Linked DNA regions of Pelodiscus sinensis. The protein of the gene in region 2 purifies or fractionates together with the protein of the main gene of each other region. This does not show direct contact. Links are inferred from orthologs where the notes say so. Each region holds a gene or a part of one and is shown on either strand. Other genes may lie near its edges.

What was found.
Region 1: the proteins of GLS (region 2) and SIRT5 purify together in Homo sapiens (affinity purification with western blotting; 3 studies listed by BioGRID and IntAct, with this or other methods). This does not show direct contact. The link is inferred for Pelodiscus sinensis from reciprocal best matches to the Homo sapiens genes GLS and SIRT5.

What each region holds. Positions count from the first base shown.
Region 1 is NC_134712.1:105,931,026-105,946,609, forward strand, and holds the start of SIRT5 (NAD-dependent protein deacylase sirtuin-5, mitochondrial), read left to right. Parts: upstream 1-7,743; 5' UTR 7,744-7,850; coding exon 7,851-7,898; intron 7,899-11,009; coding exon 11,010-11,148; intron 11,149-15,584. UniProt on the Homo sapiens protein: NAD-dependent lysine demalonylase, desuccinylase and deglutarylase that specifically removes malonyl, succinyl and glutaryl groups on target proteins.
Region 2 is NC_134717.1:66,948,271-66,963,459, reverse strand, and holds the start of GLS (glutaminase kidney isoform, mitochondrial), read right to left. Parts: upstream 6,748-15,189; 5' UTR 6,655-6,747; coding exon 6,353-6,654; intron 5,892-6,352; coding exon 5,829-5,891; intron 1-5,828. UniProt on the Homo sapiens protein: Catalyzes the first reaction in the primary pathway for the renal catabolism of glutamine. Plays a role in maintaining acid-base homeostasis. Regulates the levels of the neurotransmitter glutamate, the main excitatory neurotransmitter in the brain.

The DNA.
Region 1 (15,584 bases), on a different chromosome or scaffold from region 2:
AAGAGGCCTGCCACTGTGGTGACTTGGCATTGTATTGAAAATCAAAACAATGTCGGGGCTATATGTTGGGAATTGTATATGCTAATCCAAGCCAGGCTGTTTGATTGCAGAAACAGTATTGCTGCAAAGAAGTGAGAACAATATTTCCTTTAAAAATGGCTTTTAGGCAAATGGGGAAACAAAGCAGCTGTAATGGATCACAATTGCAAACCTTGCACTGTTGTTTACTGTTTATGATCAAGCTAAAACGGAACATTCTAAAATTTTAATTTGCATAGTCTATTTTAATAATGGAAATGATGGAGGGATATATATACAATGCTTGTGAGTTCTTGAGAGCTGTTCCACATGTAGATATTGTAGATGGCTGTACATTGTCCTGGATATTTGTAAAGGAACATGTGATGAAAATAAGTGAAATGAATGACCTGCTGTACCTGTTTTTCTTTATTACTTAGCCAAGGAAATGAATGAGATACCTGGGACCTTAATGAAAAGCTGCTGTTATGTCTTTGATTTTGTGTATATGAAGCTGACTGTAGTATTTTACTATTTACTGTAAAGAACTGTAATTTATATTCTATTTCTGTCATTCTGTATTTAATTGGTACAGATCTTTGTTTTAGAATACAGACTTTATTTCAGATTTTTAAAAAGATTATTTTGCTTGTATTTTACTTCAGGACTGTATTTAAGGATTCATTCTAAAAAATAGATTTAATAAGTTTGCTAGTTCACATTTTTGGTGCTCCAGTGGGATATATTGTATACACCTCTTTAGCATGTATATGTATCAAAAGAGACTATACCTTTTAGGAGGAGGAGAGTGGACAGTATTAAATACTGATCCAGTTGACTGGTTCATGTAATACAGTGGTCACCAACCAGTAGATTGGGATCTCCTGGTAGATCTTGGAGCTTCTGACAGGTGATCCTGACTGGTTTGGCTAGGAAGCTTTCAAGCACTGGCACTTCAGTTGCCCCTCCTCCCATCCACATTGTCACGCTGCTCCTGCCCTCTGCCTTGGAGCTGCTCCTTGGGAGCCTCCTGCTTGCTGTGCAGGGTGTGGGAGGGAGAAGGGGGGGGTGCTGATGTCAGGGTGCCCATCCTCCCCTCACTCCTGTACCCTATTTCCACGCAGAGAGGAGGGGATGGAAGGAGCTTGGCAATGCAAATATCTGTCGCTCACACTGTGTGTCTGTCATTTTCATAAACACATGCTGTCCTTCACTCTCATCTCCTGACCCAACACCCAATATCTGGGTGGTGGTTGTTACTAGTTTTACTACTTGCAAAGTGTGTTAGCTTTGGGTTTTTTACTTGTCTGTGCATTTCTCTCTTACACTTAAATTTAATTCTTTGAGTAGTGAGTTCTACAATGCCTAACCTGTTGTGGCTGGAGTGATTATCCCTGTGGTAATTGCTGCTTCTGGAAGTGGCTGGCATGTCCCTGCAGCCCCTGAGAAAAGCAGAGCAGAAGGTCTCCACATCGGGTCCTTGCCTGCAGACACCACTCCTGCAGCTCCCATTGATCAATAATGGGGAGCTGTGGCCAGCAGAAGCTGTGGGCTCAGTGCCTATAGCTGAAGGCCAGCACATGGTGCCGTGAAGCCATTGCTGTACGTGCCAGCTGCTTTCAGAAGTGGTGCAGGGCCAGAGCAGGAGTAAACCTGCCTTAACCCCACTGATCCACCACCCGGAAGCCATCTCAGTTAAACGGTGCCCAGCCAGAGCCTGAACTCCTGTCCAAGCTCTGAACCACCACCTACACCCAACCACCTGCCCCGGATGTGTCCCCCTCTGTACCCAAACTCCTTTCCAGAGCTTGCACTCTGAAACCCCTTATGGATCCCAGTCACCTGCCCTGGGCTATGCCCGGAGTCCCTCCCATACACCAAACTCCTGGCCCAAGACCAGAGCCTGCTCTTCAATCCTCCTACCCCAGCCTGGTGAAAGGGAGTGAGGATGGGGGAGAAAGGGGAATGGAGTGAGCAGGGTGAGGCCTCGGAGAAGGGGTGGAGCAGGGGCAGGGCTAAGTGGCAGGAAGGAAGCAGGACCAGGGTATTTGGGTTTGAAGTAGATCTTACATTGCACTTAAATTGAAAAAGTGATCTTGTGGTTAAAAAGGTTGGAGACCACTGATGTATTACGAAGTTTCAGTAATGACAGAATACAGTGTATCTGGCTATGCCCAAATGTGTATTAGTTGCTTTTTGGGAAACAATGTACCTAGAGCAACAGTCCACAGAATTGATGTTTACCTAGAACTGATCAAGTTGCATCAATGGAAGAAATTCTCATCAGGATTGTAACTGAAGAATTCCTTTGTGTAAAAGTATTTTATCAAGGATAATACATGGTGTTAAAACATATCCAAATATTTATCTCAAAATGGTGTTTTAAATCTAAATTGAGGCTATAAGTTAAAATGTTTTTAAAAGTTTTTCTAAAAAAGTTACTGTAGTTGCCCCAAACAATTATTATGGATTATTTAAAAACAAATGTGGACATCATTGTGTGGAAAAATACAATGTTATTTTGGTTTACGATGGTGTTTAATATACATATTTGTATTTATTCTAGGCATTCATGAATACAAAATATGCATTTACTTCAGTTATTTTGAGGATAGCTTTGCTTGAGTTAATATGCAGCCTGTAACAATATTTCACAAAAATAACAAACCAATCAGCCCTTTCTGAATACTATACATCCATTCAAGAACTATTTATATGTTGTGATCTCTGTACTTACTGCAACTCCTGTTATTCTGCAAATCCCATATGTTTCATAGACTCCAAGGCAAGAAGAGATCATTCTGATAATCTGGTCTTGACCACCTGTGTAACACAGGCCCTAGGACATGCCAAAATTCATTTTGAATGACAGTTTATCTTTTTTTTTAAATCCAATCTTGATTTATAAATTTCCAGTGATGGAGAACCCATCACACATGTGGAGGTTGTTCCGTCCTACCCTCACTGTTATGCTTTATTTCTAGTTTGAATTAGGGATGTAATTAACTAGTTAAGTATCTGATAAGCTTGCTTATCAGATAGTCAACTAGTTAATTACATCCCTATTACATCTGATAAGCAAGCTTGTCAGATAGCTGACACACTAGTCAACTAGTTGTTCCCCCCCCCCCCCCCCAGCCTCTCTCAGAGGAAGCAAGGTGTGGGGGAGAAGGGAGTGCTGGGGGGAGATGGCTTAAAAGCCAGTTCACTCCAGCTCGGGGGGGGGGGGGGCCTAGGGGCGCAACAGCAGCATTTCACCTTTGAAATGTACAAGCATCCCAAAACGGAAGTGCTGCATGGAGCTTGGGGCCAGCAGGGGACGGGCCCCTGCTGGCCCCAAGCTCCATATCTGCCATTTCAATCTTTGAAATGCACGAGAGCCTCTGCTTGTGCTCTTCCATGTGGCACTTCTGCCTGTAAAATTTAGCAATAGCTGGGCAGGCTCTTGCTACATTTCAAAGCAAAGTGCCCTTATCAACTAATCAAATAGTCAGTGGAAATTCCACTTTCGATTAGTTGATTAATCTGATTTTAACATCCCTAGTTTGAGTTATCTAGCTTCAACTTATAACTCTTGAATCTTGTTATAACCCCCATTACCATGTCCTTCACCAAAACAAGTTAAGTGGAGAGACATGTTCATGGGAAGTAAAATATGAAAAATGACTTTTATTAGATATTTGCTATTTCGTGTCTATCGACAAATTTTTACCTTTCCATGCCTCATTTTCCCCTTCTGTAAAGTTAGCATGAGATATAACTCATCTCTTGAGAGAGAAAATCTAGCTGGTGAACGCCGGAGATTTTAGAAGAAATTTTTTATTCGTGTATAAACTGCTAACATTTAACTATCCAAGATGTTTTACTCTGATCGTGTAACACAACTCCAAAGATATTTCCTAGCCATTCCTTTTATGTAGTACCACCGTCTTCTGCAGCACTTAATAAAGTACGCCAAACACAGAACAGAATTTTTGCCATAATGATCTCTTGCTTACATAAAAACCCCCACAAAGAATACCGTACAATATGGGATAGATGAAACTCAACCTTAATCAAGATCCATCTGGTATTTGAGTAGATCATAAAAGGCCTTCTATTGATTTAATCTGTGTATTTTTGTTCAAGCTGTACATCTTCTAAAGATTTCATAGGCTGCTATTTTATGGCTTTTTCAGTTTATAAATAGTAGCTTTGTTCAGGCAGATCTATGCAGTGGGAATCATAATAGCATAGGTTTGGCCCCTTAGCTATGCTACCATAAACCTGTAATGTGGACAAAGCCTATGGCAACAAAGGAGACATTTTGTCATTACAGGAACATCATGTCCCCAACACTAGCTAGGCCAATAGAAGCATTCTTCTGTCAACCTAGCTACTTGTTCACAAGGAGTAAGATCAAAATGGGTATGGCACATGGTTGTGGGTTTCACACCTGTGTAGTGTACTTGTGTCAGACTAAATTCTGTGTATGCCAGACTTTCATGTTATTTAGAGGTGAGTCATTCTAAATGTGTTGCTTCCCATAGTATCACCTATGTTTTATCTGACAAAGTACAAATACTCCTACAAATGTATGGTTGGAAAGGGGTAAAGAGATAATCTAGTTAATCTCACCCAAGCCTCTACATTGAGACAGGACATAGTATTTTTTCTGCAATATTACTGCCTTGCCAATTATTACTCATTTTGTATTTGTGTATTTCATCTTTCTTTTCTAAGCGTAGTTCTTTGCACTTATACTCAGTTAATTTGTCATAATTTAACAGTTCTGTTTCCTGTGTTTTAAATATACACCAATAGAAAACTTCATTTTTGTTAAGTAGGCTTAGCAGAATTTGATTTTTTTTATAACTTTGGATAATATTTTAGGGAGTTTTTCAGTTCTCAATTTAAATGTTTACTCTTGTGTAAAATTATGGGGGCAGGCTGTATCTGCTATACCCTGACTTTGCAGAATCTACACCTTAGTACCCCCCTCCTCTTCCTAAAATGAACACACACAGCTGTAAAGCGCAGGGGCTTGCAAGAGGGGGGTGATCTATCCAATCCCTCCCCCCCACCTACTTAATGTCTCTGCTCCAGCTCTACTAGCAGCTGTTACAATACTTTTGAATCCCACTTTATGGTTTATAAAGTTTGCAAGCAGTATTTTTCTTACTGTGCTTAACTTAAATTTTGATTAGTATTGATGGAATTATTTTTATTAATTTGTGTATGTGTACAATGAAATCAACATATACTGACAAAAACCTTAATCTTCCAAGCCTAGTTCCAAGGTTACTATCAAAGACAAAATATGAAATGTGTGGACATATGCAAATTGGTTTTTTTTTACAATTAAGATCCACCACCCACAAGGACCCCAATACGCAGATTTTTCATTCCACAACAGCTGAACAACTGTGGCAGTGCATGCATATAAAACTAGCACTTCTGAAACTTAAGCCAAGCAACTAATTTTACATTCTAAAAATATGTATCCTTGCTAGGGGATGTTGAAGACCAAGACTTTTAACAGGGTTCAAAAAAGAACTAGATAAATTCATGGAGGTTAGATTTATCAAAACTTACTGGCCAGGATAGATAGGAAGAGTGTCCCTAGCTTCTGTCAGAGGTTGGAAATGGGTGATAGGACAGGGATCACTTAGTGATTCCCTGTTTTGTTGACTCCGTCTGGGGCATCTGCTATTAGCCACTGTCGGAAGACAGAACCCTGGGACATTTGATCTGACCTAATATGGTTGTTCTTATGTATGCTTTCTTGGTGTGTGGTAAATGTTAGTGACATAAGATTGTAGGGGATGTTATAAGAGCTGTTCAGGCTCACTGCAGCTCTATAGGATCTGGTCTCTGAATTGAATAATGTGGGGAAATGACAAAAATGCCTCCTTTATGGCGTTTTCCTGACCTTTTCTGTGGCTTTTAAATTTTTTTTTACACCACTTTAGTAGCACCTATATTTTAGAAGTGTGACCCTGGAAATACACTGAACCGGTGTAGTTCAAACCGGAAATTTCCCAAAGTTCAAGGACGTTTGAACTGACAATGTTGGCTCAGGCCATTTTCTCCATTTATAACGTCTACCTCTGCCCTTCCTCGGCTGTTTTTCATGTCAGGTTACTTGAGAGAGCCACTTAGTGCAGTTGTGCTCTAAGGTTTTGGCCATTTAATGAAGCAGCATTTTGCTGGCTCCTTGAAAATCACTTCCCCAGTCGCTGCTTGGCTCGGCGCTTTAGGGTCGGGGTTTTCAGATGCGGGGGGCGCGGCCCCGAGCAGGGCCTCAGACCATCCCCGCTGCTGGCACAAGCGCGGCCCGCGCAGGGCGAGTCCCGGGGCACGAGGCGCGGCTGCTGAGGAGGCGCCGGCCCGAAGGGCGCAGCCGCGGGAGCCGCGGGAGGGCGGGGGCTGCGCTGGGCCGGGCCCGGCTCCTCCCCGCGGCGGCCCCAGGCGGGGCGGGACGTGCCGCGCTCCACGCAGCGGCCGCAGCTGGGCCCGGACAGCAGCCGCTGCCGAGGTGGGTACCGGCCCGGGCGGGGCGGGCCTGGGAGCCCCGGGGGCGCGAGGGGCCCTGCCCCGCACCAGCCGCCTCGGCAGGGGGAGCCCGCGGGACCCGCCTCTCGGGGCCCGGGTCTCTGCTGCCCGAGAGCCGCCTCCGTCCTGCGGCCTAGGCTGCCACCTGCTCGCGCTGGAAGGGGCCCGGCCCGGCTGACTGAGCTCAGAGACGGGGGGCAGGGGGGCTGTGATGCGCGGTGCCTGGCGGAGCGGTAAGGGTGGCACAGGGCGGGGGTGATGCCGACGCACATAAGGGTTTGCCTGCCCCTGGCATTGCTCGGATTGGATCCAGCCTGGCTTTTGTCAAGCCCCGCAAAAATTGCGGGAGGCCCAGCCCGAGCCTGTCTGAAAATCCGGGTGTGCACAGGGCCAGTTGTGTTTTCATACGGATGCAGGGCTGGAGATGTCGAATAGCTCAACAGTGCTGAGGGAGGGAGGACTGCATCTACTCAACCGGGGGTCTGACCCCGGAGGGGGTTGCAAGAAGGTTTCAGGGGGGCTGCCAAGCATGGTGAGCAGTAGATTCCCTTAGAAAGGGAAAGCCTTGCTATAAGGGACTGCACTCTGGCACCCTGAGCCCCACCATCCATGGCTGAAGCCAAAGCCTGAGCAACTCAGGCCAGATCTTCGCTCGAGTTGCTGGAGCTGGTTTACCTTAAGCCGAGCTTGGTGGCGTCCCCACAGCGGGAGGCCCATAGGAGCAAAGGCTCCCATCAGCTTCCCTTGTATCTCTCAAAAGGGGGTGTACAGGATGCTGGCGGGGGCTCCCTCACAGTTAGATTTAGCAAGACTTAACTAGACTCACAAATCAAACTCCAGAAGATAGATCACGACAGCAGTGACCACCTTTTAGTGTTAGACAAGGTCTTAGTTTTGTAGGGCACTAAGGATTTTCCATGCTAGCTAATAAAGTGAAACGTTTGTTATCCGGCACTCTGTTAACCAGGAAACTTTGTTAAGTTTGAGGACATTGCTCTCAGCCACAATACTGTCACGTCTTCAGGCGGACAGACCTGGCTTGGTTTACCATGATTGGCTTAACAATTTGTTATTTAAGTAGTACTAATCATCTTTAACTCAAAATAGAAACGTGAGATCAACTGCCTCACATTACAAAACTACCAATATTAAGTTTTACTATTATTGTCCATTGTTTTTTCCTAGGTTGATGGGGACCCCCAGATAATCAGAATTTTTAGATAACCAGAACGCCCTAATCCCCGAGTGTGCCGGATAACACAGGTTTTACTGTACTTAATTCTCTTCCTGGCTTTTATATGCCCCTTCTGTCCCCCAAAAAACCCCAACAAACAGTTGTGGTACAGGTGGGTTGTGATGTTTTTATTGACTGTTGGGAAGGGATTCAGAAAGAAAAAGGTTCAGATCCCCTGCCCTAGACCATAGCAGATGTTAGTAGCAGATGTTAGTACAACCTGTTCCTAGATACCAATGATGGGGATTCTACAGCCTTCCTGGAAGCCTATTCCAGATCTTTACTCTTGCAGTTAATAAATTTTTTCCTAATATCCAACCTGAACCTCCCTTACTGCAAACTAAGCCAATTATTTTTGTCCAACCATTGGTAGACATGGAGAACCACTTATAGCCGTCCTCTCTATAACAATACTTGAAGACTGTTGTGTTGTTCTCTCAGCTTTCTTTTCTAGATTAGACATGATAAGGTGCCAGGGTGTAGTAGGGATGAAAATTGCATTTAAAATGTTAACCAGTTAAACTATATATTTAACTTATTAAACGGCCCATCTTGTCATGCTGTGGGTGGGGCTGCGGGAGCAGCCCCTTCCCCCACCCCCTCCGCCCCCTACCTGTGGCGCTGTGGGCCTGGCCAGGCAATGCCTGTTGCATTTCACCATGGGCAGGGGACTACTCTGGCTGGATACCAGTTAACTGGTTACCCCAGTAAACATGCTGGTAAAGCAATGCTTTCTGGGTAACTGGTTAACTGATCATCCATTTATATCCCTAGGCAGGGTGTAGATCCTTAGTAACCTCAGCATCACCCTTGAATCCTTAAGGGAGTTGAGCATTCCATCCAACTTGTTGGATGTCCTCTATAGTCACATGTACCTGCTATGCAATATGTATCAGATGCCTGCTACCAAGAGGCATGCTGTGTGGTAAAACTAATTGCCATAAGCCATCTGACATGTTCATAGCCACCTGTGGCATCATCTTGTCTACCATTTGGACCTCTTCAGTGGTTTTTCTTAGCTCTTCTCTATGTTCCTGTTGAAATTTGGAAACCTAGGGAATTATTCTTTCCCATGCCAAAAAACTATATTTAGCAAAAAGGGCCTGTTAATTATACAAAGTTTGGAGAGAGGCAGATAAATAAGTCTTATGCCTGAAAATACCCTGCTCTTAGAGTCCTTATTTTTCAGCATACCTTGGTAGATCAGGTCTTTTCTTAAACCCTCAGAGACTCTGGGGCTGGATGAGTGTAAGTTTTTGATAAATATTTTTCTACTCCCTTTGAAGTAAGGGGAAGCAAACCTTAATGTGTTAGCTGGTTAAGATTATCCCAGTGGATTTGAAAAATAAATACCTATTATCCTAGTCTAGAGAGACTCCTAGCATATAACATGGGCAAGATATGTTGTGTTTAACCCACACTCCCCCTTGGGCTTAATATAACCAGCTATTAGTTCTAAATTGTGTCTATACCTCTACCCTAGGTGCAGCATTGCATTTAAATGGTTAGTGTTCACATTTTTCTAGTCTAGAAGATAGCAAGTAAAGGTTTTTCCTATGTGTATACCATATGACACTTTGAATAAGATTTCCCTTTGTTTCTTATTCTTCCCACAAACCATTTCCTCAATGAAATTCTAGTCTGTTGTCCTGCGAATTGTTGCATGAATGTAAACAACCAAAGATTAGGTCTGAGAACAGATTCTGTGTCTATCATTGCAGGAGTTGGGACGTAAATGTTTCTGTTTGACATACTGTTATTTATTTTTATACTTTGTTACTCTGTGAAACAAATCATTAAACACTCTCAGCTGCATAAATTCTTGTCTAAGCTGTAGGTGTATTTTCTATTTTGAATATAATTTTTAATGTATCTTTGAACAAATTAATGTTTTTACCCTGTTTGATAGAGAAAATTATTATGCTGTGATATCAGTAATTAAAGTGCATTTGATTATCTGCCTCAGTATAATCTTGCTACGTATGTTTTGTCATCAATACCAGATAGTTAAAATTGTTTAAAATATTTTAAATTACTCATTCAATATTATAATAAGAGAATCATGAGGTATTATAAGGTATTATGGTTTTGTGGGTGGCTTTTTCCTTCTGCAATTTCAAAACATAGGGGGAGGTGGTTCTTTTGATTGGAATGTAAGGACATCTGAGTCAGTGGAAAATATTGTAGATTTTAAATATCCAGGAAAATTCTATTTAAGGAAAAAATATGATGATTGTTATTAACGTAAAGGTGAAGGGTTTTTCATTACTTCCCTTCATTTTTATATAGATTATCTGTTTTCCTTTTAAAATACTTTAAATTCCATGTACCACTAAAGAGGAAATAGACTTATAAACACTTTCCAGTATGTTCATTCTTTGTAAATGTTACATAGTATAAGGAAAATTAGAAAATCAAGGTAGAAAGGATAGAGCAGCTGTACTGTGCTGAGATGTGATTGGATCTATCAGGCTAAATACCAGAATTGAAATCTGAATTCTGGGCTTTGCTGCATGGTCTTAGCCAGTTGGCCCACTAAGCACTTGGGCACCCTTATGCTTACTGTCTCACCTGCCTTGTTTTAAGGGAATACGATTCCCAGTGAAATGAGTGTAATAGATTACTCCACTTGTAAATTTTGCCCCGTCTACCATTTGAAAAGTGGGACTAAATCTCAGAATTAGTTAATGGTTGTATTGGAGTATTAAAAGCCCTATACTGTATAGGCTAAGCATTACTGTGTCTGTACAGCATCACATTTTTGTTTATTAAACCCAGAAGATCATACTGTATGTTTTCAATGCAAAGACTCAAGATTCACAGTGTAACATTTCAGTGGAAAGAATTAATTTATTTTATGGGGGGCAATATTAATTGGCTATTTTACCTTTAGTTCAAGTAAAAAAATGTATATATCTGGAAAATAACCTGGAAAAAATATGAGCATTTCAGTACTTTTTCTAGAAGAGTAGGCTTGGCTGGCTTTTACATTTTTTATGGTTTTTTGTAATATGTATTATTTGATTGTTCTGTAAGCTTGAAATACTGTGGATTTTGAACTTTACCCATAAGCAATACTTGGTCTGGATAAACAAAGTGGAGGATGTAATAGTAAAATTATTTTTTGTGACACAAAAGAGGGAGCATTTAAGGATATATTTGCTATATAGTCTTTGCCATATAAACGTGTTCATATCACTTTTCATTTGATGTCTCTTTTCAGATTAAGAACTATAAAGTGATCCTAATGAGTCTTTTCCAGTTTACCACTAGAAGGCTGGTTTCACAAGCATATTGTGGACTTAAGCCACCTTCTTCCAAGAAACAACGAATTTGCTTAGAAATGGCTCGTTTTAAATCAAGTAAGATACATTTGTTCCCATATTTGTTTCTGTACATTGTCCAGGCAAATATTTTGTAAATTTTCTCTTTGCTTTGAGTTTTCAGCCTCTTCAAGTTGAGCAGCATTGTTGTAGACACAAAGTACTGAGCAAAATAAATGTCCTAACCTAGAGAGAGTATATTGTACAAATGGGGGCTACGTCTACACTGGCCCCTTTTCCAGAAGGGGCATGTAAATTTCACGAGTCGTCGTAGGGAAATCCGCGGGGGATTTAAATATCCCCCGCGGCATTTAAATAAAAATGTCCGCCGCTTTTTTCCGGCTTTTAAAAAAGCCGGAAAAGAGCGTCTAGACTGGCCCCAATCCTCCGGAAAAAGTGCCCTTTTCCGGAGGCTCTTGTTCTTACAAGTAAGAATAAGAATAAGAAGTAAGAATAAGAGCCTCCGGAAAAGGGCACTTTTTCCGGAGGATCGGGGCCAGTCTAGACGCTCTTTTCCGGCTTTTTTAAAAGCCGGAAAAAAGCGGCGGACATTTTTATTTAAATGCCGCGGGGGATATTTAAATCCCCCGCGGATTTCCCTACGACGACTCGTGAAATTTACATGCCCCTTCCGGAAAAGGGGCCAGTGTAGACGTAGCCGGGGTGTATAATGGCTGCACATACTTCTTTTTAAAGATTGCAAGACTCAAATCACCAGTCACCTTTGCTGAATCATTTTTGGCTCTGAGATAGACGTATCAGTTCTCTGCCTCAGAGAACATTGGAAGCCTGACATCTGGTATCCTTAGAAGAGTTATGGGAAATTAATGTTTGCACATTCCTTGCGTTTCTGTATCTTTTTAACCCTAACGTTTGCAAACAGGTCAGATCAGTCGTCCTGTGGATGCAAGCTAGAAGTTTTTAAAAGTTTTGTGTTTGAGTGCAAAAATATCCAATGAAAAATATTATAAATTGTATGTGTTTTTACATTTTGAACTCAAATGACTGAAAAGTTTTTAAAAAAATCCTTCTAGGCTTAGACCTAGTATGAGAAATTTCAGCCTTCAAGGTAACCTGTCAAAGTGAAACGTGTCTCATAATGGGTGTTTGCAACGGAAATTTAGTCTCAACATGAATATGGCATCACTACAGCTGTAATAATGAAGAGGAGAATGATAATTGAATAAAGCTTCAATTTGAAAATTCACAGGCTTTAATAATCACAGTCTATATTTTGGTTTGAAAGTGAGCTTCTTGGAAAGACAAGTATTTAAGAGGGAAAGTGTGGCTGTGAAGCTGTTAGTTTTGGATTTTTTTTAAAATTGTTAAAAGTCACCTCTGCAATCATGCTGAATGATTGCCAAGTTCCTGGCATAGTTAGGGGTCAAAATGGCTATTCCCGTTAACATGTCTTATTTCAATATTTATAAAATAGGAAATATATTTGTATCACTGTTAGGGATGTAATAGTATAGTCAATTAACTGATTAATCGATAAGCAAAAGCTTATAGGTTAATGCTGTAGACTGCACACATTTCCCCCCACCCCTTGCCAGTAAATTTTTTAGCAGGCTGGCCAGCAGCCCAGCTCAGTCCTGGCTTGCACTGGCTCCTGGACCTACTCCCCTGCAGCTCTGCATTTAAAGTATATAAGAAGCCAGGCCAGCTTAGTTACGACTTGTGCCAGGTCCAGGAGTCCAGATCCATCCCACTCCAGACAGGGGCTGCCCAGGGACTATTCAATAGTCAACTAACCGATAAGAATTCATTATGTTAATTGACTGTTCAGTTAACTGATATTTAACATCCCTAGTCACTGTATATTTTTGTTTATATATTTAGATTTGTCTTGCATATTCATAGTGAAATTTACTTCCCAGCTTCTACACTACAAGGTTTCTGCAGGAGTTGAGTTAGTAAAACCACTCCCACCAACTCACAAGCAGGGTGCATTGGTAATGCTACAGCTGTTCAAATCCCCACGGGGTAATCTACATGAAAATATTATATTTAAAGATTTAACTTCGAAAGATCTTGCTTAATACACTGGACTGTAGTAGAAAAATACAATTAGTCAGGTATCCGCCTCCACAGTCTCCTAGAAGGTATATGGTCTGGTTTAAATTGTGTGAATTTGGGCAGATAACTTAACAGCTTTCAAATTACAGGGATGCCGTTGACATACAACTCAAATTTCATTCTGAAATATCTTGTTTGCTATAATTCAAAGCCATATCTAAACTCAGAGGCAAGTATAATACCACAAGCTATAATTACTGATTTTTACACTAACTAGATTTTCAGTTCATGTTTTTGTTTTAATTAGCATGAGGTTTGAAGAATTTTAAGGTGGTTGTATCACAGTTCGGGGGCAACTGTGGCTGTACAGATTGAACTTCTCTTAACCTAGACTCTCTGGTCTGGCAACATCCCTGGTCTGGCAGGACTGGATTTCCCAGGACCAGAGAGTCCTGGTGGAGGTCTGGTGGCTGGGAACCCGACAGCAGGGCTAGTGCCCAGTAGTGGGGGCTGCCCTGTGGCACCAAAGCCACGAGCCCAACAGTAGGATTGCCATCCAGTGCTGACATTGCAGCGGGGGGGCAGGAAGCAGCAGGACTGGAGCCCAGCAGCAAAATTGCCCAGTGAGACAGAGAGGTAGTGGGGCCGCCTGGCAGCACAACCAGGAGCTGAGCGGCCCTGGTACCACCAGACAATGCAGCAGGACTGGGAAGCAGCGTGGCTGCCCCGTGGGGCCGGGAGCCTGACCGCGGGGCTACCTGGGAGTGGGGCTGCCTGGTGGCACAGCAAAAAGCCTGGCAGCTCTGCTGCTGGCCAGCAGAGCTGCCTGCATAATTGGACCCCAGCAGGGGGGCTGCCCTGCGGGGATGGAGCTTGGCACTGGGGTTGTGCATGCTGTGGCGGGGTGCCAGGCACCCTGCGTGTGGAGGGGCTGGCAGCAGGGGGAAGCCAGCTGGGAGGCTGGCAGTGAGGCCATTGCTGGGGGTGCTTGTGACAGGGGTGGGCTCGGAAGTGACCTTCCTTCGTCCATCAAAATCCCTCATCCAGGATCAGTCAGTTCCCAAGGGTGCCGGACGAAGGAGTCCAACCTGTATTTCCCCTCAGTGTCCAGCAAGGACATTCACTCACAGGCTTTCATCTCCCCAGCTGTTGTCTTTCTGGATGAAGACTTGCATCTTTCTTCCTCCTGATCAGGCTCTACAGTTTCACTGTGTATTCACTGTGTTACTCCCAGCCCAGACAGGTTGTCCAAGAACACCTGCTTTCTCCTCCAAGATGGCTAACACTTCATAATTGTCACAATTATACCTATCACACGACACTTCCCATGCAAGACTACTTTATTCTTACAGTAAAAAACATTACAGATAAAACATAACTAATAAAAGAACCTATGTGCATTCTAATAAGCTAACTAGTCATCACCCCAACTCTAACAGCGGCTGTGCGAGGAGCAGTCCTTCAGTCACAGGACTTCCTTTGTGATCACAACTTTATCAGAGCCATAGTTCAGAGTTAGCACCTGTTCTTATGGAGCCTTAATAGGCTCAGTTTCTTTAACTGTATCCTAAGGATCAGGGTGCTGTGTGGACTAGGGCATTTTGATTCTCAACCTTTCCAGAGTACTGTACTTCTTTCAGGAGCCTGATTTGTCTTGCATACCCCGAAGTTTCACCTCACTTAAAAACTGCTTGCTTACAAAATAAGACATAAAAATATTAACTTGTTATAGCACACCATTACTAAAAAATTGCTGACTTTCTCATTTTATCTGTATGAAATTTTAGTTTGTATTGACTTTTCAGTGAAACAAGACAAATATCTAGATGAGTTGATGGACCCTCTGAAAGACCTCTATGTACCCTCAGAGGCATGTGAACTCCTAGTTAAGAACCACTGGACTAGAGGTCCAGTCTGTTTGTGGCACCAGGAAAAGGCCCTGAGCCTGTTGAAACCCAGTCTGCTTATCCAGTCATTTCATTGCCTGTTGGTCCTTGGAGAAACCAATTTGAAATAGTACATGCAGACCTCTCAAGAGAGGTGAGGGAGGGGTGACTTCAAAGCGGGGAGGATGTACATTAGCAGCACCCTCCTATTAGAGAAGATACATACAATGCCACAATAACATATACACAATTGCATTTTTAATCTAATGTAACCCAAGTGTATTAACCTTAACTAAAACTTTACTGAATTAAGTTAAACTTTGTTCTCTTAATTTCCTAAGCTTGGTTCAGAATATTGCCAGCCTGTCACATGTTGGTTGAAAGGGGTTTATATATAACTAGAAATTACAGCAATTTGGGATTATTATTGTAGGCCTGTTAATTCTATCATAGTAAGTTTTATTTAAGGCTTCATTCTTCCAAACTTTTAACATATGTACTTAATTTCATCCACATAAGTAGTTCCCTTCCATAAATGTTTACAGGATCCAGGGTTAAAAAATTTTCTTA
Region 2 (15,189 bases):
TCTGCCCTTTTCTTTGCCATTTGTCATGATTGAGCATTCTCAGTGTGATCTTTCCAATGACCATGGTCACAGTGGTCTTAGCTCAACATAAGATTTTCTTTCCACTGCCCTACAATACAAGAAGTAGAAAATTCAGGTGCTATTATGCTGCAAATAGAATTCAAAAAGTGGTATCTTGCACATGCAGGTTAGATAGAGTCAAGTAGAGAAGTCTTGGAAATGCTGCTTTTGGCACATGCTGTAGTATGAATGACTAGAACAGCCATTACAATTTCTGTGTATTCTTGGAACCTAAAAAAATCAGACAGAAAAAAAAAATCTTTTGACTTCTTCATATATAGCGCAGTTGCCTCAAATCTACATTTCTTCCATAAGTGGGTTTTTTTTTTTTGATAATTTTATAAGTAGGAATTTCTATATAAAAAAAAAATCACCCAGTCTATCACAGTAAAATAAATTAAGACTTAACAAGGAGAGAGAAAAACTACCGGTATGTATCTTTCTAACATGACAGAATTTTCTTCTAAAACAAGTTTCCAATGGGGCTGGAGTACAAAGATATTTGATTGAAAATTATATATGATGTACATTAATACAATTGCAAAGTTATTAAGACTGCAAAGTCAACTACTCTATTGTTCATTTTGCCCCCTTGTGCATCCATCCCATAATCTGAATGAGACAAGTCCTGTGGAAAACAATAATGTTATTGAGTAATCAGACGACCATAACACATATATGCATAAAAGGGAAGAATTAAGGTTGAACAGGAGTCCATAAATTTGGCGTTTCTAACTTTCAAGTGATTAAAAAAATAAAAATAAGTTATTTAGGCTAAATATGTCATTTCCTAGGTTGGTTTCACACACACACACACACACACACTTGTTCTAAACCATCAGCACTGCACAACCAACAGTTCCCACTTGAGTTACAGAACAAATAAATATGCTAGGCTCAGTGTTTGTCAACCTTTTTTTTTTATAAAGTACCCCCTTTTTTTAAAAAAAAATTATAAGTACCCCCAGCACCTACAGTTTTCAGACACATGTTTTTTATTCTACCACTGCAACACATCTGTTTAAACAACTAAATTGTAGCCGGGTATAATAAAGTGCTGTAAAACTTAAAACAAAAATTCAGTTTTCTCCAAATTTCAGTTGTGTTGATGTACCCCCCAGACTTTTCTCAAGTACTCCTGGGGGGTACTTGTACCACTCGTTGAGAAACACTGCTCTAGCTGACTAAAGCTGCCTGTTATTCTAGGAGGCAGTTCACCAGTATATCCAGGGATGGTGTGGAGAACTGTAGTCCTCTCTCCTCCAGGAATAGGGGGCGCTCTAGATCCATATGGTGCCCCTGAAGAGGAGGGAGATGGAGGGGAAGGCCTAAGACCGCTCCAACTTCCCAACAAGGAGGGCACATGAAGCAGCAGCATTTGTGCACTATTATTAACTGTCAGAGACTGAATGTAAATCAGAGTCATAGAATCGGAGTTAGAAGAGACCTGTGAAGGTGATAGAGACCAACCCCCTACTAAAGGCAGGACCAATCCCAACTAAATCATACCAGCCAGGGCTTTGTCAAGCCAGGACTTAAACTCCCTCAGCTTCCTAGATAACCCATTCCTGCGCTTCATCACCCTCCTAGTAAAATAGTTTTTCCTAATGTCAACCTAGACCTCCCACACTGCCACTTGAGACCATTGCTCCTCATTCTCTTATCTGTCACCACTGAGAACAGCCTCTCTCCATTCTCTTTGGAACCCCCCCCCCCCCCCGCTTCCAGTAGTTGAAGACTACTATCAAATCTACCCTCACTTTTCTCTTCTGTAGACTAAGTAAGTCCAAATGCCTCAGCTTCTCCTCATAAGTCATGTGCTCCAATACCCTATCACTTTTGCTGCTCTCCACTGGACTTCCTCCAATCATTCACATCCTTTCCGTAATGGAGTGCTCAAAATCGGACACAAGACTTCAGATGTGGCCTCACCAGTGCTGAATAAAGGGGAATAATCACATCCCTAGATCTGCTGGTAATGCTCCTACTAATGCACCCCAATATGCCATTAGCCTTCTTGGCTACAAGGGCACACTGATTCATATCCAGCTTCTCATCCACTGAAATACCTACGTCCTTTACTGCAGAATGATAGAAACAAAGTGAACAGGAGAGATAGACAAATGGAAAAAAAAAGTACAGGCAGTCCCCGAGTTACGCGGATCCGACTTATGTCGGATCCGCAGTTACGAACGGGGATTTTTCTCGCCCCGGAGGACTGGAGGGCCGGGACGCCTGGTCCCGCCGCCTGCCTCCTCCGGGGCGAGAAAAGCTGCTCCCCGTCTCCCTGGTCTGTTGGGGGAGCCAGAAGACCAGGGAGACGCTGAGCAAAGCCGCGGAGGACCCGGCCAGAACCGCGGCGCTTCCAGCTGATCTGGCCCGGGTCCTCTGCCGCTTTGCTCTGCATCTCCCTGGTCTGCTGGGGGAGGGGGGGGACACAGCTAGTGCCCCCCCCCCCCCAGCAGACCAGGGAGACGTGGAGCAAAGCCCGGGGCCTGTGGTAGAGCAGGTGGGGCGCTGCCGGTTGGTCCCGCAGCACCACTCCTTGGCGCTACTGGACCAACCTGGCAGCACCCCAGCTGCTCTGCCCCAGGAGTCCTGATTCAGCCGCTGCTGATCAGTTTCAGCAGCGGCTGAATCAGGACGCCTGGGGCAGAGCAGCTGGGGTGCTGCTGGGTTGCTCCAGTAGCGCCGAGGAGCAGCCACGCTACTGGACCAACCCAGCAGCACCCGAGCTGCTCTGCCCCAGGCGTCCCCAAGTTGGCCGCTGCTGAAACTGACCAGCGGCTGACTACAGGAAGCCCCAGGCAGAGTTGCTCTGCCCCGGGCTTCCTGGAATCAGCTGCTGATCAGTTTCAGCAGCAGCTGACTTGGGGACGCCTGGGGTTCTTAAGTTGAATCTGTATGTAAGTCAGAACTGGTGTCCAGATTCAGCCGCTGTTGAAACTGATCAGTTTCAGCAGCGGCTGAATCTGGATGCCAGTTCCGACTTACATACAGATTCAACTTAAGAACAAACCTACAGTCCCTACCTTGTACGTAACCCAGGGACTGCCTGTATACCAGAACATTAATTTGATAGTAATTTCTGTGATTTCTCTGCAAAGGGAAACCGTTATTAAGCATGGAAATTTATATTTAAGGCTTTTAAAAAAAACACCTTTTGATTAAAACACATCGATACATACAAGATAAATTTAAGTTGCAAATTTTAGTGAGCCCTAAAACTTTGAAAACTGCTAGCTCTAAAATCAGCCACCAAGGATTGCTTCTCTAGTTAACTGAGCTTAAAAAAGTTCTCCCCCAAAAAAACATACATGATTTTCTGGTGGAAAATGGGATGGTATCTGGGGACAGGAGGTCAAAAGAAGAACTATAAAAGTCATATCCTTAATTACAGGAACAATATTCAGGGCTTGAAAATTCACTAAAGCTTACATAACAGCTGAACAATCTATGAATTTCCGTATAATTTTTCACATAAAAAGTTAACTTTGTAAAATTTTCAGTTGCAAAAATTACCCTTTATACCATGCTGAGTGTAAAATATAGTACTATTTTCTTGAGTCTCCAGACAACTCCAGTGACAGCTGCTGCTCATAGTTTTGTACAATTTTTGAGCAGCTAAGTGACAATGAATAACTAGGGATTTTACTCCTGCCCTAAGGAACATTAACTCTTGTCAATGTCATGCTGCAGCATTTCAAAACCATGAGCACCAGTAAAGACAGATACACAAATTTTTATACTGAATCAGTGGTCCATTTACTCCAGTATCCTGCCGTCTACAGTGGCCAGTAGTTTATTTTTAAAGGGCTCTATACCAAGTTGGTTCTTATTATCCATGTTGGAACCCCACTAAGCTATTCACTTCAGTTAGCATGCACCAGTAAGAGCCACCAGCTGTGTTGCATGAAAAAGTGCTTCTCTTTATAATTGTACTCTTGTCATAGAGTACAGCTATCATTTGTACTGTAACACTCACAAAGTAGTGTGCATTTGTCTTGAGTTTTGGTAATTGTAAGATACTACTCTCTGTGCATTAGGCACTAAAGCTTGAAAATCAAAATAACTACAGACTATCAAGTGCATCCATGTGTCAAAGAAAACAATGAAAGTTATTTTTAAAATGTAGCATGTACATTTTGCCCCATGGGTGATCAAGTAGTATTTTTTCGAGTGATAAACTGATTAGACATTATTTAAAATTTGCACTAAAATCTTAGTGCACTGATACAAGATATTATTTTACAGACTTTGCCTGAATAACTACTTTGGAATTAATCTACAGACAAGAATGGTTAGGAATTCAAATTGGGGAGTGAGGATGCTGCCCTTTTTGCATTAGTATCCATCCAAGTATGTGTTTCTTTCACTAAAATGACATTACCTTGACATTAAAGTTCAATAATGATATGACGTGCATTTAGAATCATAATGGAAATTAGTTTCATTATTAATTTATATTTATGATCATTTATGAAACTACATCCACAACTACATCCAAACTTCACATATGCAGAAAATATACTATGCATACACATTATGGGTATTATAGGAATTTAATAATACAACTTTCATAGCTCCATAGTGGGGATGACCTGCCCTCAAACAAGCCAAAGCTTGGGGAGAGAGAGAGAAACAGACACAAAGCTCTGAAGGGCAAAAGAGGAAAGCAGGGAGCTAGACAGCATATTTTCTCTCTTCTAGGAGACTGAAGAGACAGAATGTCACATTTACAAGACGGATACATACAGATTGATATGAAAGATGAAGCTCTTCAGCTAGAATCATGGGTTCCCAAACTGGGGGGCGTAAAGGAATTCCGGGGGGAGGGGAGTGCAAGGCAACCCAACCCCTCCGCCCCCATCCCCTTGCTATTTTTGTTTTTTGGTCCAGGTCAGTTCCTTTTTTTTTTTGCTCAAGTTTTTTGCTGGGGGAGGGGGAAGGTTTCCCAAAAATCAATAAGGGGCCTGATGCCAAAAAGTTTGGGAACCACTGAGCTAGATGTTCTAGCATGTTTTCCTTTACCAGGAGTCAGAGCATTTGTGAGGAACCCAAATTTTTAAATGAAGGTTTTGCTCCCTTGACCTTAATAAATAGAATTCTCATGTGCTTTGTACCTTTTTCTAATATTTAGCCCAATGATGAATTTTAAGCCCTCAAATATTAAAATGAGCTTAATGAAATCAGCTTTTCACTGCTGTCTGTCCTCAACACCTGCCCGCCCTCACCCAACCCTGAGACCAATACATAAATTAGGATCAATCCACCCAGTTAGTCCCATAGGCACATTCCATGGGAATTAGTGTAAACACGTGTAATGCACAACATCGTTAATTCTCTCTCTACTAATTATAGGTTGGAGATCAGGGACTTAGAGGTTAACTTCTAAAAATCACAAGATGTAGCAGTGTAATTGAGAAGACCATTGCAGGAGTGCCAATACAGGAGAGAGTGCACTGAATTCACCTTTAATAATATAACAGACATAGTATTTTTGTTCAAACAAAATATCATTCCAACAAAAAAGCACCAGAACATATTGTCTTATCTGAAATGTATTCCCCCTTGTTTCCCATTTGATTGAAGGACACATAAATAGCATGTTCATAATGTGCTGAATCCTACTGAAATTCGCAGATAAAATGCACTATACCTAATTATAGAAAGCATTTTTAAAAGCTTATTTTAATATTAGAATACATTTACATCAGAGAGTCCGAATACAAAGCCGGTGCCAGCACTATTTTGAGATTTTTTTTTACTTAATATTGACGTACACGGCACTATTTCCTTTGGCATAGCTGCAGCATGTATCTGCTTTTCCCCTTGAGGGAGGGAGAGATACCCACAACGAGTCAATACACCAAGCGGGTAAAAGCAGTCAAGTATTTTCTCTACGACGGGAGAAGCAGAACAGTGAAGGAGAAGGCACAAGGCAGGGTCTAGGATTTCCCACCCTCCGCGGCGCTCACCCTGCCCCTCAGGATAGCAACACGCCTGCCCTGCCCGGCGAGGGACCCCTCGCCCACTCCAGCCCCAGACGCGCCGGCTTGCTGTGGCGGCTTTGCGGTTACTGGGAGCTTGCGACCCGGGGGAGGGTCGGGGGCCCAGAGCCCCCAGCACCTCCGCCGGCCCGGCGAGCAGCCCTCCAACGCCCCACACGCGAGTCCCCGCCCAGCCGCCGCGGGAGGGACCATCCATACAGCGCAGGCACGGCCCGCCGCCAGCAGCATCTCCCCGCGTGGCGAGCGCCTCAGCCTCCCGCCGCTCCCCCCCCCCGACTCACTTGTCCCCCCCGGCTCCGGCCAGCTCCTGGCCGCCGTTGAGGTGGTTGTTGTTGCCGCCGTCGGCGGGCGGCGCCCTAGCGGACAGGGGCGGCCCCTTGCCCGGCTCCTGCAGGGCCCCTTCCGAGCGGGTGCAGACGCTGCGGACGGGCGGCGGCCCCCAGCAGGGGGAGGGGAGCGAGCCAGCGCCCCAGGCGGCCGCAGCGAACGGGGCCAGCGGCCGCCTCACCGCTGAGCCTCCGCCCCCCGCGGGCTGGCCGAGCCGCATCAGCTCCCGCAGCAGCACAGAGCTCCAGACCCGCATCCTGCCGCTCCGCTTCCTCCCGCCGAGTGCTGCGCCTCAGCCGCCGCGCCGGCCAGCCACCTCGGGCAGCCCGCCCCGCGCCTGCCCGGTGGGCGCGCACCGCCTAGCTGTCAGGCGCTTGGCCCGCCCATTGGTCACGCGGGACGCCACTCACAATCCGCCCCGCCCCCGCGGAGACCAGACTGAAGCTGTGGCGCACTTGGCGTCAGAGGCTGCTCGGTTGAAGTCAACGGCAGAGCCCGCGGGGCAGGGAGGGGCGGGCGAAGGAGGCCGCGCGCCGGCCCCACCCACCCGGGGAGGGGGGGAGACCCGCGAGGTGTGGCGTAGCGTGCCTCATGGCGCGGGAGGGGCGAGGCGCTCGCGCCAGGGAAGCGGGAGGGTCTCGGCCTCGCGCCCGTGCGTGCAACTCGCCACGTAGAAATGAGCTCAGGCTCGCCCCTTCCCGAGCGCCGCAGCACCAGCCGTCTGAAGGCTACGGGCGGGCAGGGAGTGGTGCCTCCAATGCGCACATTCCTGGTTAAAAACTGCTCTCCCTGCAGACCGTGAGGTGTTAGAGCTGGCGTGGAACGTGCAGCAGGAGAGGATCAGCCAGCTGCGTGTAGCAAAAACTTGAGGAGCTAAATATTTTGCCCTTTTCCCCCGCCCCTCCAAAAAATAAAAAATAAAAAAAGCTCAGCCTAGGAAAGGGCGCAGGAAGAGACGTTTCAGGGGTAGCCCTGTTAGTCTGTTTCAGAAAAGGGGAAAAAAAAGCCCCATGGCACCTTTAAAGACTAACAATTTTGTTATGTCATAAGCTTTCATGCGTTGCAACTCATGAGAGCACCGACTGCGGTACTGTGTGTTCTAGTTTCTTTAAAAAAAAAAAAAAAAAAGTGCTAAAAATGGACACTGCTTGATCTGAGCCAAGGCCAAGCCAGAAGCTTCTGGGCTAGAAGTAGACTGGAGTTAAGGATCGTCACACGTTACCATGGGTACAAATGACTCATGAATGATCAGCCAGACTGCCCCCTAATGGAGGAGAGAAGACAAAATAGTTGGCAAAATGATTTGTCATTTCTTACAGACTCATCCTGGTAACAGAACAACTTGATTGCCCTTAGACTAAGTGTTGTCAAGTGCCTAAAATAGCATGTAAACAGTGTAGTTACGTACATATTTTGCTTATATTAATTCTATGAAATAAGAGTCCAAGATTGCCATACAAAAGTAATAATATGAAGTCAATTGTGAAGAGATGGAAACAGATACAACCATGGGTAACAGGCTTTTTACATTCTGGATATCACCAGGTTCAATCACCACTTGGAATTGCAGTCAGCATCCAATGTCTTACATTATCAGCTATTTTGAGCTTTAAAAAAAATACAGATGTTTTCATGACATACTCATGCAACAGCATGCACTTTCACCTTTTCACCAGGGACTCCAGCCCCAGCCCCGTGCTTCTGCAGGCTGCCATGGGGATCCATCTTGGCCCCACATTTCCAGGGTTGCTGCAGGGCTCTGGTCCCAGACCCAGACTCCAGGGGGCTGCTGTGGGGGCTCTGGCTCTACACTCCCGGGGACTGTCAGGAGAGTCCAGGCCTGTGCTGTTGCAGAGGCTGCAAGGGAAGTCCAGCCCTGGCTCCACACTGCTATGGGGGTCCAGCACGGGTCCTGCACTGCCTGCAGCTGACCTTGTTTTCCTCAGCCTGGCTGTCCCTCCTGCCCTTAGGTTCCCGGGCTCCTAAGTTCAGGAGCATCCTTGGTCCTGCTGTACTACAGATGTTTCCAGATCAGAGAATGCCAGTTTTTAGAGGTACCACCTGTAATACATCATGAAAATCCTCCAAATATTAATGATTAATCTGTTGAATTGGAGATTGCTCATTTCTCAATGACTTCATAACTATCTGCTTCATTACCTTTGATAAATGAAATAACCAATCATTCATTTCATTTTGTGTTCAAAATAAATCACTATTTAAAATGTATAGTGTCTACCTTCTAAAAATGAAACCTACATCTATCTCTGAGTTGTGAAAAAATTAAGGTTATGACAACCAACAAGACTGCACTTTTATGTAGAAAACCATGTTTAAATTGAGTCTTAACTAGTGATTTAAATAAATGTGATTTAAATCAAATCCACCCTGGTTAAAATACTTCCTTTTGTTTTAAATTTGCTGCCTATTAATTTCATTTGGTGAAGCCCTAGGTTTTTTTTTTTTTGTTATAAGTAAATAACACTTCCTTACCTATTTTCTCCATACCTGTCATGATTTTATAGCTCTGACTCATATCCCCCTTAGTATCTTTTCCAAGCTAAAAAGTCCCATTCTTATTACTCTCCTCATACAGAAGCCGTTCATACCCCTAATCATTTTTGTTGCTTTTTTCTGAACATTTTCCAAGTCCAGTATATTTTTGGGAGGATGGAATGAACACATCTGCATATGGTATTCCAGATGTGGACACACTATGGATCTTTATAGAGGCAATACAAAATTTTCTCTTTCATCTATATCTTAATGATTTCCAACATTGTTAGCTTTTTTGACTGCTGCTGCATATTGAGTGGATATTTTCAGAAAACTATCTTCAATGACTCCAAGATCTCTCTCTTGAGAGGTAACAGCTAAAACATATCCCTATTGTTTTATATGTATAATTGGGGTTATGGTTTCCAGTATGCATTACTTTGCATTTATCAACATGGAATTTCATCTGCCACTTTGTTGCCCAGTCACCTAGTTTTGTGGGATCTTTTTGAAACTCTTTACAGTCTGCTTTGGACTTAACTATATTGAGCAGTTTTGTATTTGCCAATTTTGCCATCTCACTGTTTAGTCCTTTCTCAGATCATTTGTGAATATCCTGAATAGGATTGGTCCCAGTTTGGGCCCCTGGAGAACACCCCACTGTTAGAACTGAAAGTTTTATTCTTTTTATATTTGTATTTTACGTTTAGTAATATAGTAATGTAGTTTAATGATGTAACAATAATATAGCAATATAAGGTATATGTTAATACACATTTAATATTTCATTAAATTAAGTCCTTTTAGTTAAATGTCTATTGCTTTGTCCTAAAGTTTAGTGAATTTAGTAAATGGGCCTAAGTAAAAAGATTTTTTTGGCTGTGCCGCTGATCTGGAGGTATAAGTTGTCTCCAAATTGGAAATAATTGCGGGTGAGAACAAAGTTACAGATTGGCAGTGGTATCCTCTGGCATAGTGTTTCTAATTGCTTGTTATCACCCCTAATATCATCACCTCACAGACACTAACTTTCCCCCCCTCGCATTTCCCCTCTGTTCTAAAATCTGATTTGTCAATTTTATATGTGTTCACTTTTTTTTTTATTGTATCACTTTGGTATTTATGGTCGTGCCAATTTTCTTCCATAAAATTGATCTGAGGAAGTGGGTCTGGCCCACAAAAGCTCATCACCTAATAAATCATCTTGTTAGTCTTTAAAGTGCTGCATAGTCCTGTCTTTTGTTTCAGCTAGACCAGATTAACATGGCTGCATGTCTATCACAACCCACTGTGACAGCAGTAGGACTTCACGGTCCTGACCAGTCCAGTCCAGGGACAGGACTAACATCATCACCTATGCTGTGACCTGTGACCAGAGAGGCAGATTAAAAGCAGTGGCCTAAACAGCCCAATTCTTGAACAAGTTTGCCAGATTCTGGAGTGGGTGCTCAGACCATGTGGTGGGCTTGTGTGTCTCTTGCAATGAGGATGCAAGTACAGGCAGTCCCCAACGTACGCGGATCCGACTTATGTCGGATCCACAGTTACGAACGGGGCTGCCCCAGAGTACACGGACTGCGGGACCTCGCGGTCCTGCCGCCAGTGTACTCTGGGGCTGTCTCTGCGTCTCCCTGGTCTGCAGACCAGGAAGACACAGAGCAAAGCCCCGGAGGGGCTAAGGCAGCCCAGGGCAGCCCCCCCCCCAGCCCTCCCCCTCGCGGCTTTGCAAAGCCGCAGGGAAGCCGGCAGCGGAGCAGTCCAGGCGCGCCTGGGCTGCCTCGCTGCCCGAGCCCCCCCCCCCGCAGCTTGGCGCCGCCCGTGTCTTCCTGGTCTGCTGGGGTGGGGGGGGCGCAGCTAGTACGCCCCCCCCCCAGCAGACTAGGCTTTTCTCCAGACGCCTGTGGCAGAGCAGCTGGGGTGCTGCCGGTTGGTCCCGCAGCGCCACTCTGGGCGCTACTGGTCCAACCCAGCAGCACCCCAGCTGCTCTGGTCCTGATTCAGCCGCTGCTGGTCAGTTTCAGCAGCGGCTGAATCTGGACGCCAGTTCCGACTTACATACAGATTCAACTTAAGAACAAACCTACAGTCCCTATCTTGTATGTAACCCGGGGACTGCCTGTACTACGTTGGAAGGTCAAAGTAAGATATGCCTCTCCAGCTACATCATGTTATCTAACATCATGTTTCCGCGCACAGCAGGAGGCCAATGGGAGCAAAAACTTCTGTCGGCATCCCTTATTCCTCATGAGGAGCAGGAGTACTGGCGTCAATGGGGGCACCCACTGAGTTCAGTTTAGAAGGGGTTTGACCTGCTAAATCAAACCCCAGAAGATCAACTGCAGCATCAACAATCCTCCATGTAGTGTAGACATGCTGAGTGCCTTACCCCCAGACTACATATTTCTGTTCAGGCTATCACTACTTGCTCTTACTATTTTGAGTACAAAAGAGTTCACACAAAGACACACTAAAGGCTCTTACAGTGAGAACACCAGCAAGGACATGAAGTTTTGCATGTAAAATCTCAAAAATGAACCTGATGTCCTATGCAGATTCTGGTTTTTGCTTGTCAAACACAATAGGTGCTAGCACAGTGTAAATGTGTGTAACCATTCTGCTAGGTTATGCCAGCAGCAGCCAGGGCCAGGTTCAATATCTAGGGGTTTCTCTTCATCCATCCAACACAAAACTGGTTCGAGCCCGCACCCAGTAATCTGGGAAATTCACACAACACCCCTGGGCACCTCTGGGAGGCAATGCTTCCCCACTCACAAACACAGAGTCTGAGTGTAAAAGAGAAACTTTTATTAAAAGGGGAGGGAAGTAACGTGGCATTACTTTGGGAAAACACCCCAAACAGAGTTCATAACCAAAGCCATGAGTAAACATCCCAGCTCAAGTAGGTTGGGCAATGGCCTTTTCCTCGCAGGCTCTCAAGTCCAGCAATGTAAATGTCCCCTTCACATGCCCAGACCTTCTCTTCACCCCACTCACAGTCACTGCCCTGACCAAGGGCAGATCTAAAGTTCAGAGGTGCAGCTGCAGAATTCACTTCCCATCCTGAGCGGGAGGAGGTAGGAGGCATTTTACTCACTCCGCTGGTCACTCATCATCCACCTGCTCGCTGCTGTCTGGCACCACTCTGCTGGCATTCATCTCACCTTGCTGCTGCCACTCGGCTGCTGCTCATTATCCCTCTGTTGCCACTCTGCTGGCTGCTCATCCTGCTGCTGCCACTGTGCTAGCTTCTCATCGCATCTTCTGCAGGCTTGTGGAGGATTTGGCTCTGGGCCAAACCTATTGATTTCAGCTCTGAGGGATTTCCGCTTGGCTCAAAGCACCATCCAGCCACAAGAGATTCCAGCATCCACTGGAGTAAGTTTAAAATAATAAGAGAGACTCCTTACAGAAATTGTTCTAGTTCTATCATTAGAACAGGGAGGAGAAACAGGTTGAACCGGTCTTACAGCTCGTACCTGGAGGGCAGTCAGAATCCTGCCCTCCCCAGTTAACTTCACAGAGCTTTGGCATGGAGGCCCTTGTCCATCCAAGGTTCTTTACACTGACAGTTTCTCTCCTCTGAGCTGAGTTAAACACAGTCTGACTTTTCTGCATTCCCCCAATACGTGCAAGCACTGGTGATCATACCTCACAATTCCTGCATGTAGTGTTAACACAGTTTGTGACCCCACAACAGTCAAATTGGTTACAATGGTGTCACACGGCTATGGGGATGACATGGTTCAGGTGGGGTGGATCACCTCGCCCCTATCGCACTTATCCCCACCCTTTTTCTCCCCAGCTGGTGCCTCTATTCCCACCCCCAAAGTCTGTCTGCTCCTTCCCTCTAGTCCCCTCATGGGAATCCTATAGGCAGGGCAGCATAGTTCAATAGTCAACACATGACCCAATGGTCAGAGTCGATTTGTGGGGGAGCAGCTGGGGAAAGGTTTACTTCCTACTACAGGGGGGGTCCAGGCCCTCCTACTCCACTGGACCCCAGCCCAGGGCCCTGTTAGTGGCATACCCTCACCACTGAGTCAACAGGGAAATCCTAACTGCAACACACTGACTCCCTGACAGTGGCTCACTGGTAGCTATTGCCGCTCCTGGGCTGCTTCCTGCTTCCCCGGTCTTGGCTCACTGGTGAGTCTCCATTTCACCACGGCTCTCTGCATTCTGGCTACTTCCCCTTATTTCCAAATCCAGCGTGGTCTCTACAGGCATCTGGTCACTAGCCTAGGTGGCAGTATTCCAACCTTTAGGTAGTTGCTGGGGCTTGCAGGGAGCTAGTTCAGCATGCTCCTCTGCTACCAGCCCCAAATGAGCTGAGCTGCTCCCTTTTATAGTAGTGTAGCCCAAGCATGCCCAGTAAGATACAGTGGGTGTGGCTTCCTTGGCTCTCAGGGCTGAGTTAACTCCCTCCTGCTCAGGCGGGTGGAATTCACGCTGGCACAAATGGGCAAAAAACCATTGTAGTAGAATATCTAGCAGGCCTATGCAAACTAATGAACTGTATTTACATGCACATGCCCAGAATCTCATTCTTTAAACTGAGAATGTTTCCCTCCTTTGTGCCAGGTTAAGCACACACTTTCTTCATTTGTATTTCTCCAATAATTACAGACATGGCAATTAGTATTAACATAATCTGTGACCCAACACCAGCTAAGTTGATTACAGTAAGCAAAACACCATTGTAATAGCCAAATATCTAACACCGTGGTCACCAACCAGTCAATTGTGAGGCTTTGGGCCCCCTTCGCTGCCCTCCATCCCCAAGATTAACAACGCACTGATGCTACCTCCAGGGACTACGGGGCTAACACAGGCTTCCTGTGAGGTTGGGGGTGGGGAGTTCTTCAGCTGTGCACCAGGTCCCAGAAGTGTGCGGGCTGCTCCCCCCCCCCCAACAGCTGGTGCAGTACCTAAAATGCCGGTCTGTCGTGCGCTGGGGACTTTGTTCCCATGCTGCCTTCCTGTGTGCAGGGGAGGGGCTGGGGGGCTGGGACTGCACCGGAAAAACAGTGACGATTTACTGTAAGAAATCAGCTGCTTTTCCGGAAAAACTATGCTGTTCCTGCTCGGGCAAAAGTCCTTTTTCTGGAAAACTGTTCCGGAAAAGGGCCAGTGTAGACAGCACAGTAGTCTTTTCCGGAAAAAAAGCCCCGATCGCGAAAATGACGTTCGGGGCTTTTTTCCAGAAAAGCGCGTCTACATTGGCCACAGACGCTTTTCTGGAAAAAGGGCTTTTCCAGAAAAGCAGCCTACCAGTGTAGACGCTCTTTTTCCGGAAATACTTATAATGGAAAACTGTTCCGTTTTAAGCATTTCCGGAAATTCATGCCAGTGTAGACACAGCCCAGGAGTTTTTCCGGCAAACTCGCTCTTTTGGTAGCCCCTATATTCCTCGTTCCATGAGGAATGAAGGGGCTTCCAAAAGAAGGGGGGTTTCTGACATTTGGCCCAGTCTGAGGCCTAACAACTGCTGAGATGCACAAGACAGTTACCTCCCATGTCTTACACACAGCTCTCCTGCTAACATACCCCAGAATATAAGCCTCTTTCCCTGCTGCAATACATTGGTGACACATTTATGATCAACAATCACTACTAGACGTTTTACAGCAGTATTGCTGCCTAGAAAAGTTGTTCCCCATTTTGTAGCTGTGCATTTGAGTTTTCTTCCTTAAGTGCAGCTTCTCCAGGCTCTGGACAAGCTGGCGGGGGCCTCCTTTGTCCCCCAGGAAGGGGCAGAACCTCAGGTGGAAGGGGCAGGCCTGAGACTAAGCAGCCATCAGCACTGCCCAGAGTGTGCCGTGTCTCCCCCAGGCAGCCCTCAATACTGCCTGGAGCAGGGGTGGGCAATAATTTTTGCCCAGGAGCCACTCCAAAAATTTTTGAAGTAGCCTCGGGCCGCCCCGGAAGGGGCAGAACCTAAACAGGAAGTGGCGGGGCTAACCCACCCCCAGTCCATGATTGGCCTGAGGATGGGGGAGCCCCTTTGCCCCCCCTTCCCACTAGGCACCCATGCCATGAAAGAGTCTTGGCATGCTCCCTCACCCCAGGCCAATCAGGGTCTGGGGATGGGGGAACACAGGGAGCTTCCTCCCACCCTTTGAAGTGCGCTGCTCACAGGGCCAGGGTAGGGTGAAGGAAGCTTCACGCAGCTCCCCTACCCCCAGGCCCTAATTGGTCTGGGGGCAGGGAAGCGCACGAAGCCTCCTCCACTCTCCCCCTCACCCTGAGAGCTGCACATGGCTTCAAAGCACCATGTGCTCCTGGCAGGGCGGGA